Daphnia pulex: one gene and its partner. The protein of the gene in region 1 purifies or fractionates together with the protein of each later gene. This does not show direct contact. Links are inferred from orthologs where the notes say so. Each region holds a gene or a part of one and is shown in the gene's direction. Other genes may lie near its edges.

Region 1 (2,677 bases):
TGTCGTTACGCCGGACTCTTGGCTGGCCAAGGCAGTCTGGAAGCAGCACTGACTTATCTCGATATGTCGCAGGTAAAAATAAAATTCTCTTGAACGCATTCACGATCTAGACGTTAATGTTTTTGTTTTGTCTTGTTTCATGTAGGACGATTCGATGGTAGAATTAAAGGACAGACTTCAACGCGCATTGAATCCGGTCGACCGTAAGGTTTCTACCGGAATGATGAACGGTGCTTACAGCATGGCATCGCAACAGCAAAAGGCTGGGCCGCTGCAGCGATACCCATCGGTTGGAATTAATAGGTCTTCTACACCAACAAACAGCTATTACGGTCATCAGGATCAATTTAATTCAGCTCCAGCTGTGCCAGCCTATCCCCCGAAACCTACAACTCCATTCCAGGGCAATAATTGGGCAACGTCCACTAATACTTACAACTCTCCTCAAGCAGCGACTTCGATGCCTCCAACGGCCAATACACCTGCACCACCTCCAAGTGGCCAGCCTGTACAACAATTTTACCAAGCTCCGAGTGCCCAGCCTTTGCAACAATTTCATCAGTCCCCGAGCATCCAGCCTTCGCAGCAATTTCATCAACCTCCAAGCGTCCAGCCTTCGCAGCAGTATCATCAGCCTGCTCCACCACCGCCTGCAGCAGCTACGGTGGCCCCTCCCCCGATAACAGGGAATGTTTCGCGCTTGGGATCACTGAATCAACGTAACAGAGTTTACGTCCAGGATCCTAGCGTTTCCAGTGGTCGATCTGGTGGATATTTCAACGCTGCGTCGAATTCACAATTCCAGCAAGTCAATCAGATGGGTTACATGTCCCAGCCACCACAATCGAATTCGGCGATGTTCCAACCTACTGGTCAGTTCAACACTCCGTCATCTTACGCGCAACAGGGCGGTTTTCCTGGAAATCAGTTTAACCAGCCTTTACCGCCCTCCCCTGGGTCGTTCAATATGCAAAGCGGGCAGATGTCTAACGGCGGAGTAATGGATAATGTCCAACAGCCTCCATCTCTTTACAATCCAATGGAACACGCTCAAGCGCCGCAGCAACAAAGCGCATTTATGCAACCAACATCATTTGATGCTCCACCATCTATAACTCCTCCGTTGGCTACCAATCTCGTGCCCTCCGTACCATTTCTTCCCACCGCGAGCGCGCCTCCTGGTTGGAACGATCCACCTCCTCTAACGTCGTTCGCTAAAGTGAAAGCTGAGCCAGCTGTCATTGAAACTATCAATCACCCCATGGGTGTTGTGGAACAGCCAGCCATTCCCATTATTCAGCCTTTCGAAGGGTCATTCAATCAAGGAGCAATGAATGCTCCAGTTGATATGATTCAAAACCAACACCACCAGCAGGCGCCTGAGCCAATCCAGCCAGCCCAAGCCTTGCTTCCGATTCCAAACGAACACTTAATCATTCACGATGTATTCCACACGTTGAAAGATAAATGTGCCGCACTAGCCTCCAATGCGGTGAGAAACTACTAGAATTATATTATCATGACGAGATCATTATTTTATAATTTTTTTTTTCTTTTTAGCAATTGAAGAGAAAGCTAGACGATGTAGGAAAGAAGCTAGAGTGCCTGGATGATCTGTTACGGAAAAATATGGTAATTCATCAACTATATTCAATATTTTTTGGTAAAGCTAATGTTCGTAAAATTTATTGTAGTTGCTGAGCCCCACCCTTTTGGGGTTACATCAGATTGTGCAAGCTGTTCAGGCGTACGATTACGCGACCAGTCTTAGTCTACACTCTAATGTGGTGATCAATACGCCCTTCACCGAAATCGGATCGTTCATATCTGGTTTAAAAGTGCTTCTCCAGATGGCTCAGCAACTGGGAGTCCAATACCAGTAGCAACATTGGGGGAAAAGAAAGATTTTTTTTCTATGAGATATGATATCTAAAGTCTGATTTGTGCTCGCATGTTAGGCAGAAAAGTTGGCTTCGTCGCTCCACACTTCGTTTCTCTTGATGTGTGTGTAGTTAATACCTTCCCCCTTTTCTTTAACCAGAGAATTCATTAAAATCTATGCTATTTACAATGATCGAAGTACTCTTTTGGGTGTGGCTTATATTTTTATTAATTTTTATAACATGAATATTTTGTTTAGGAGAAAGAAAATAATTTCACAATCCTAATGGACACTATGTTGATTCGAAACTTCACACTTCATGTTGAATTAGAACTTTTAAACTTAAATACTTACTGACTTCTCAAGTTGGCTCGGCAATCCTCAAGCTAGCAGGAAGGAGAGGCAAGCAAGCAAGTCTTCCAGGAATTTAAACTACCGTGTAAATATTTGTGATTTTTCCAGAATTAACGAAGCGGTGGTTCCCTATATGTTATTGTTGCGTCGATACAATCAATCATCTACGAGAGAAGGTAAGTAAAAACTAAATATGTTAATCAAATGTTCTAGTTTGCTAATACGGATGTGGAAAATTTGTATTATAAAACCATCGAGTGAGTTTTCTTTTCTGTAAACTTCTCAAGATTTCAAGGTAGGTTTTGGCAAATAAAAGTGCGCAGTGGATAATGGTTTGCCCTATATAATACTGAGATCTTGCGAGGGGTTGTAAATCAGTCGTTTTCATTTTTGTTAAAGTACTCTTTTTTTTGCAGTTGCTTTGGAACAGTGCTTCATTAA
Region 2 (4,123 bases), about 5.5 Mb from region 1:
CCACCCTATCCCCGTTTTGTGTGTATCTGTGGTCCGATTTTCGAGATTTATGGGATGGAAACAAAGTTGCCGTCCGATCAATTGTTTTTTAGTTGATCGCTGACCAACTTTTTCTGAGTTTGGTAGGTCACTCAAACCATAACCTGATAACCATGCTCAAACTCAAAATGAGTCGAGTTTCGCTTAATTTTTCGCGCTTAAATCATCGATCAACGTTTGCCTGGAATTTTTACCTTCCAGTGACATCTAGCGGTCAAACTTTGAAATCGATACACAATTGAAATAATAATTTGCCATTTTTCAATTAATAATATTTAAATTTTTTGTCTAGTTTTTTTTTCTTTTACTGTGTTTTACTGTTTAAACAAGAAAAATTCATAAATAATAATTTCATACAATTTTCGTAGTTTAAAATTTACCGCTTGACAGCGCCTGGAATCGATCGAATAAATTGAGCTTAAGCGAACTCAATTTTTTTTATCGTCGCTTATTTTAAGCTCAAACTCAGACAAAAGATTTGAGCGCCGATTAAAAGTTTGAGTTCGTGCTTAAGCGACGATCAACTCTTAAGTTCGATCGTCGTAAGATAAGTAAGAGTAAAAGTTTTTTTTTTACTATTTTTTCAATCTATTGAGTATTAAACGAACGGCATAAAGCGATACGGACGAGGAATCAAATTTAAGTTCCCTAATATATTCCAAACTGTCTGACTGTCTGTCTATAAGGAATGTGAAGCATTAGAATTGCCTTGCGATTCTGTACGGAATTGTCTCAGAATTCTCAGGTTTCTTTCAGGATTCCTTTTCAAAAAAGGTCTCCAGAAAAGGTTATTTTTGTGTTATCACTTGAAATCGCGGACTGCTTATTGGTAAAAAAAAACCTCAGATAACAAGGCAGTGAGTTATTCACAACATTTGTTTTGGGGCATGTAGTATTTTATAGTATTATAAGAGAAATTGTAAACCTTGATGTTGAAGGTATAAAACTTCGTTTAAGTGAGGAGTTTGGTATAAGCCGTGCTTTCTACAATGATTTCGAAGCCATTTTGCAGTAATTCTAGGATTGGAAAATTATGTTCCATTTAGTTTGGTATTCTATAATATTGTATTTTATCTTACCTTGGAAATATATTTTGTTCATCCTGCGAATCCGTGTAAACATTTCCAACTTTTTCCATGACGATTCTTACGGATTCTTAGGTCTTTCCGTCTCATGTATTTTCTCCCCTTATCGACCAAACTACTCTTCGTATACTTACCAGAAGGTGGCACGCCGCTCGCATTTATGACGTGTCGCTGTCACCAACGTTACGTTTTGAATTGATCACTGAAATAAAAAATTGAATTACTCTTTGCTACAGTACTATTTTTAAAGTAATTGCAATAGGATAACTATGTGGTCATTTTTCAGCCGAGATCCTTCCAAAGAGTTCGGTTATGAAATTCTGGAACAACTTACAGGAACAGAAGAATATATGCTATGGAAACTTCATAAAGGGAAGAAGAAGGTGAATTGACACTGCATAATTATCAAAGTTAAAGTTTGGTTATCTTCATGTTATGGAATTCCTCAGGGTTCTAGTGAGCCAGTATCTGTTTTCATCCTTGATGCTAAAACAAGTGGAAATGACACACAGATAGAACTTGCGAAAGCAGCTCTGAAAAGATTGAAAACACTCAGGCATCCAAACATTCTCACTTACATCGATAGTCTAGAGGTTATTCATTCATTCTTTTATAATAAAAAGATTGCTTACTTATTTTCATTTACTATTTAGACAGAAAAATGTTTGTATTTGGTAACTGAGTATGTTGAGCCCTTGCAGTTTTATTTGAACAGTTGTGCTACTGATTACCCTAAATCTAAACAACAAAAAGAATTATTTATAGCATGGGGACTTTTTCAAGTTGTGGTATGTTTTAAAGTGAAATTAAATAAGGAATGTAACCAAAGATTTTAAGTTCTTAACTATTTCCAGCGAGCCCTAACTTTCTTGAATAATGATGTGAATCTTCAACATAATTCTATCTGCCTTGGAAATATACTTGTAAACACCGCTGGAGGTAAATATCCAAGTTTTGCATGTTACATAATCTAGTTCCTGCATTCTAATTGTATTAACTATAACAGAATGGAAGCTTGGAGGTTTTGAAAATGCAACTCCATCATCTCAAATAAATTCTCTACCAATAAAAATACTACCTTCCTTTGAGAAATATGACCCACCTGAGAAAGTGGATTCATTGAAGCTTAAATTTGCTACCAAATGGTACTTGATTAGATTTTTTTTTTCTATCCTTTAAATATTTCCTTAAATTTTATGTTTGTGAAGGTCAGCCGACATGTGGGGTCTAGGATGCCTTATTTGGGAAGTGTTCAACGGTTCACTCAAATCCTCTTCCTCATTAAAAATTTTGGGCAATGTATGAAATTACATATTGTTGATTTAATTAATGAGTTAAATCATATTACTTTGATTATTTTTAATTAGATTCCAAAACTGTTAACATCAGTTTACTGTGAACTTGTAGGAGCAAATCCCAGTTCTCGCCCTAACCCCAGTGAAGTCCTTGTTATTTGTAGAAAGCCTGGAGGTTACTTCAATAATGATTTGGTTGAATGTCTCCTTTTTTTGGAAGAGATTCAAATTAAGGAAAGTAATGAGAAGACACAGTTTTTCAATAAGCTACCTTTACTGTTGGAAAGTTTTCCAGAGAACTTGGCAAGGTTAATTATACTTAATATATAAAAGACTGACAAAGTATTTTGAGTAACAGTTTTATGTTTACTATCAAACAGACACAAAGTTTTACCTCAACTTATTAATGCATTTGAATTTGGTAATGCTGGAGCAACTATTCTCACTCCTCTGTTTAAGGTGAGCAATATTAAATTAATGTGTTTATGCATACAGTACTTAAATACCTTCTCGTCATGTTTTTTCCCCAGTTAGGTAGCTTATTAACCGAAGAGGAATATCAAAAACGAATTGTTCCTTGTGTAGTCAAATTATTCTCGTCTCCTGACAGAGCAACTCGTGTCCGTTTGTTGCAGCAATTAGAACATTTTTCAGCTCATCTTCTTCCTGTCACTGTGAATGATAACATCTTTCCCCACATTTTGAGCGGATTTACAGACTCGAATCCAGTAATAAGAGAGCACACTGTTAAGGTATTTTATTATAAAATGATTGTTCAGTACTGTTGTATTTATTTTACTTTTATTAATATTGGAATTATCGCAATGCAGTCCATTATATCTTTAGCACCAAAACTGAATTATAATAATCTGAATGTGGAAGTTCTCAAGCACTTCGCGCGATTACAATCTAAAGATGAACAGGTAAATTTCTTCGCAAACAAATGAGGCTACGTGTGTTGAAAATTATTTTTTTTTTTTTTTTTTGCATTTAGGGCGGGATCCGTACCAATACTACAGTGTGCCTTGGAAAAGTCGCCTCTTATTTCCATCCTCAGATAAGGCAGAAAGTTCTGGTATCAGCTTTTACCAGGGCACTGAGGGATCCGTTTCCTCCTGCCCGAGTTGGAGGTAAAATATTCCATTCATTAGAAATAGATTTAGTAAACATAAAATTTTAAATAAAAATTTTTTCAGGCATATTAGCATTTGCAGCCACCCAACAATATTATCTGCTGAACCAAATCTCTAATCAAATTTTACCTGCCCTTTGTGTACTGACGGGTGATCCTGAAAGAGAAGTGCGCGATCAGGCCTTTAAAGTCGTTAAAGGTTTCCTATCAAAATTGGAAAAAGTATCGGAAGATCCTTCTCTTCGAGAATGCATGGGTACTATTAATTATTTATTTATTTTCAATTGCTATAACGGTGATTTTTAATTTTTATTATCTTGTTTAATGTTTTCCTGTAAACAGAGGCTGATGTAAATGCAAACGCTAGCCCAAATGTAACAGATATGGCATCAACATGGGCTGGTTGGGCAGTTAGTGCAGTCACATCAAAGTTCTACAAGTCTCAAAGCAGCCAAATATCTGATCAGTCTCCTGCTCTGCCAGCCAGCACTCAAGGACCAGCTGCTACAAGCAACCCAATAAGTTGTGATACAATTCCTGAAACATCGCATGAATTACGGAGGACTTCTTAT

The links. Proteins that work in one complex are often made in the same cells at the same time.
Region 2: the proteins of protein transport protein Sec31A-like (region 1) and N-terminal kinase-like protein purify together in Homo sapiens (affinity purification with mass spectrometry; 3 studies listed by BioGRID and IntAct, counting the BioPlex papers as one, with this or other methods). This does not show direct contact. The link is inferred for Daphnia pulex from reciprocal best matches to the Homo sapiens genes SEC31A and SCYL1.

Annotation. Positions count from the first base shown.
Region 1 is NC_060028.1:9,226,931-9,229,607, reverse strand, and holds the end of protein transport protein Sec31A-like, read left to right. Parts: coding exon 1-72; intron 73-145; coding exon 146-1,492; intron 1,493-1,560; coding exon 1,561-1,632; intron 1,633-1,694; coding exon 1,695-1,883; 3' UTR 1,884-2,071; downstream 2,072-2,677. UniProt on the Homo sapiens protein: Component of the coat protein complex II (COPII) which promotes the formation of transport vesicles from the endoplasmic reticulum (ER).
Region 2 is NC_060028.1:3,728,413-3,732,535, forward strand, and holds the start of N-terminal kinase-like protein, read left to right. Parts: upstream 1-1,253; 5' UTR 1,254-1,393; coding exon 1,394-1,507; intron 1,508-1,573; coding exon 1,574-1,717; intron 1,718-1,777; coding exon 1,778-1,912; intron 1,913-1,978; coding exon 1,979-2,063; intron 2,064-2,130; coding exon 2,131-2,269; intron 2,270-2,332; coding exon 2,333-2,423; intron 2,424-2,491; coding exon 2,492-2,727; intron 2,728-2,799; coding exon 2,800-2,878; intron 2,879-2,949; coding exon 2,950-3,171; intron 3,172-3,249; coding exon 3,250-3,342; intron 3,343-3,413; coding exon 3,414-3,549; intron 3,550-3,615; coding exon 3,616-3,807; intron 3,808-3,893; coding exon 3,894-4,123. Other genes in the region: dynein axonemal assembly factor 1-like, read right to left, coding at 965-1,056, 1,119-1,177. UniProt on the Homo sapiens protein: Regulates COPI-mediated retrograde protein traffic at the interface between the Golgi apparatus and the endoplasmic reticulum. Involved in the maintenance of the Golgi apparatus morphology.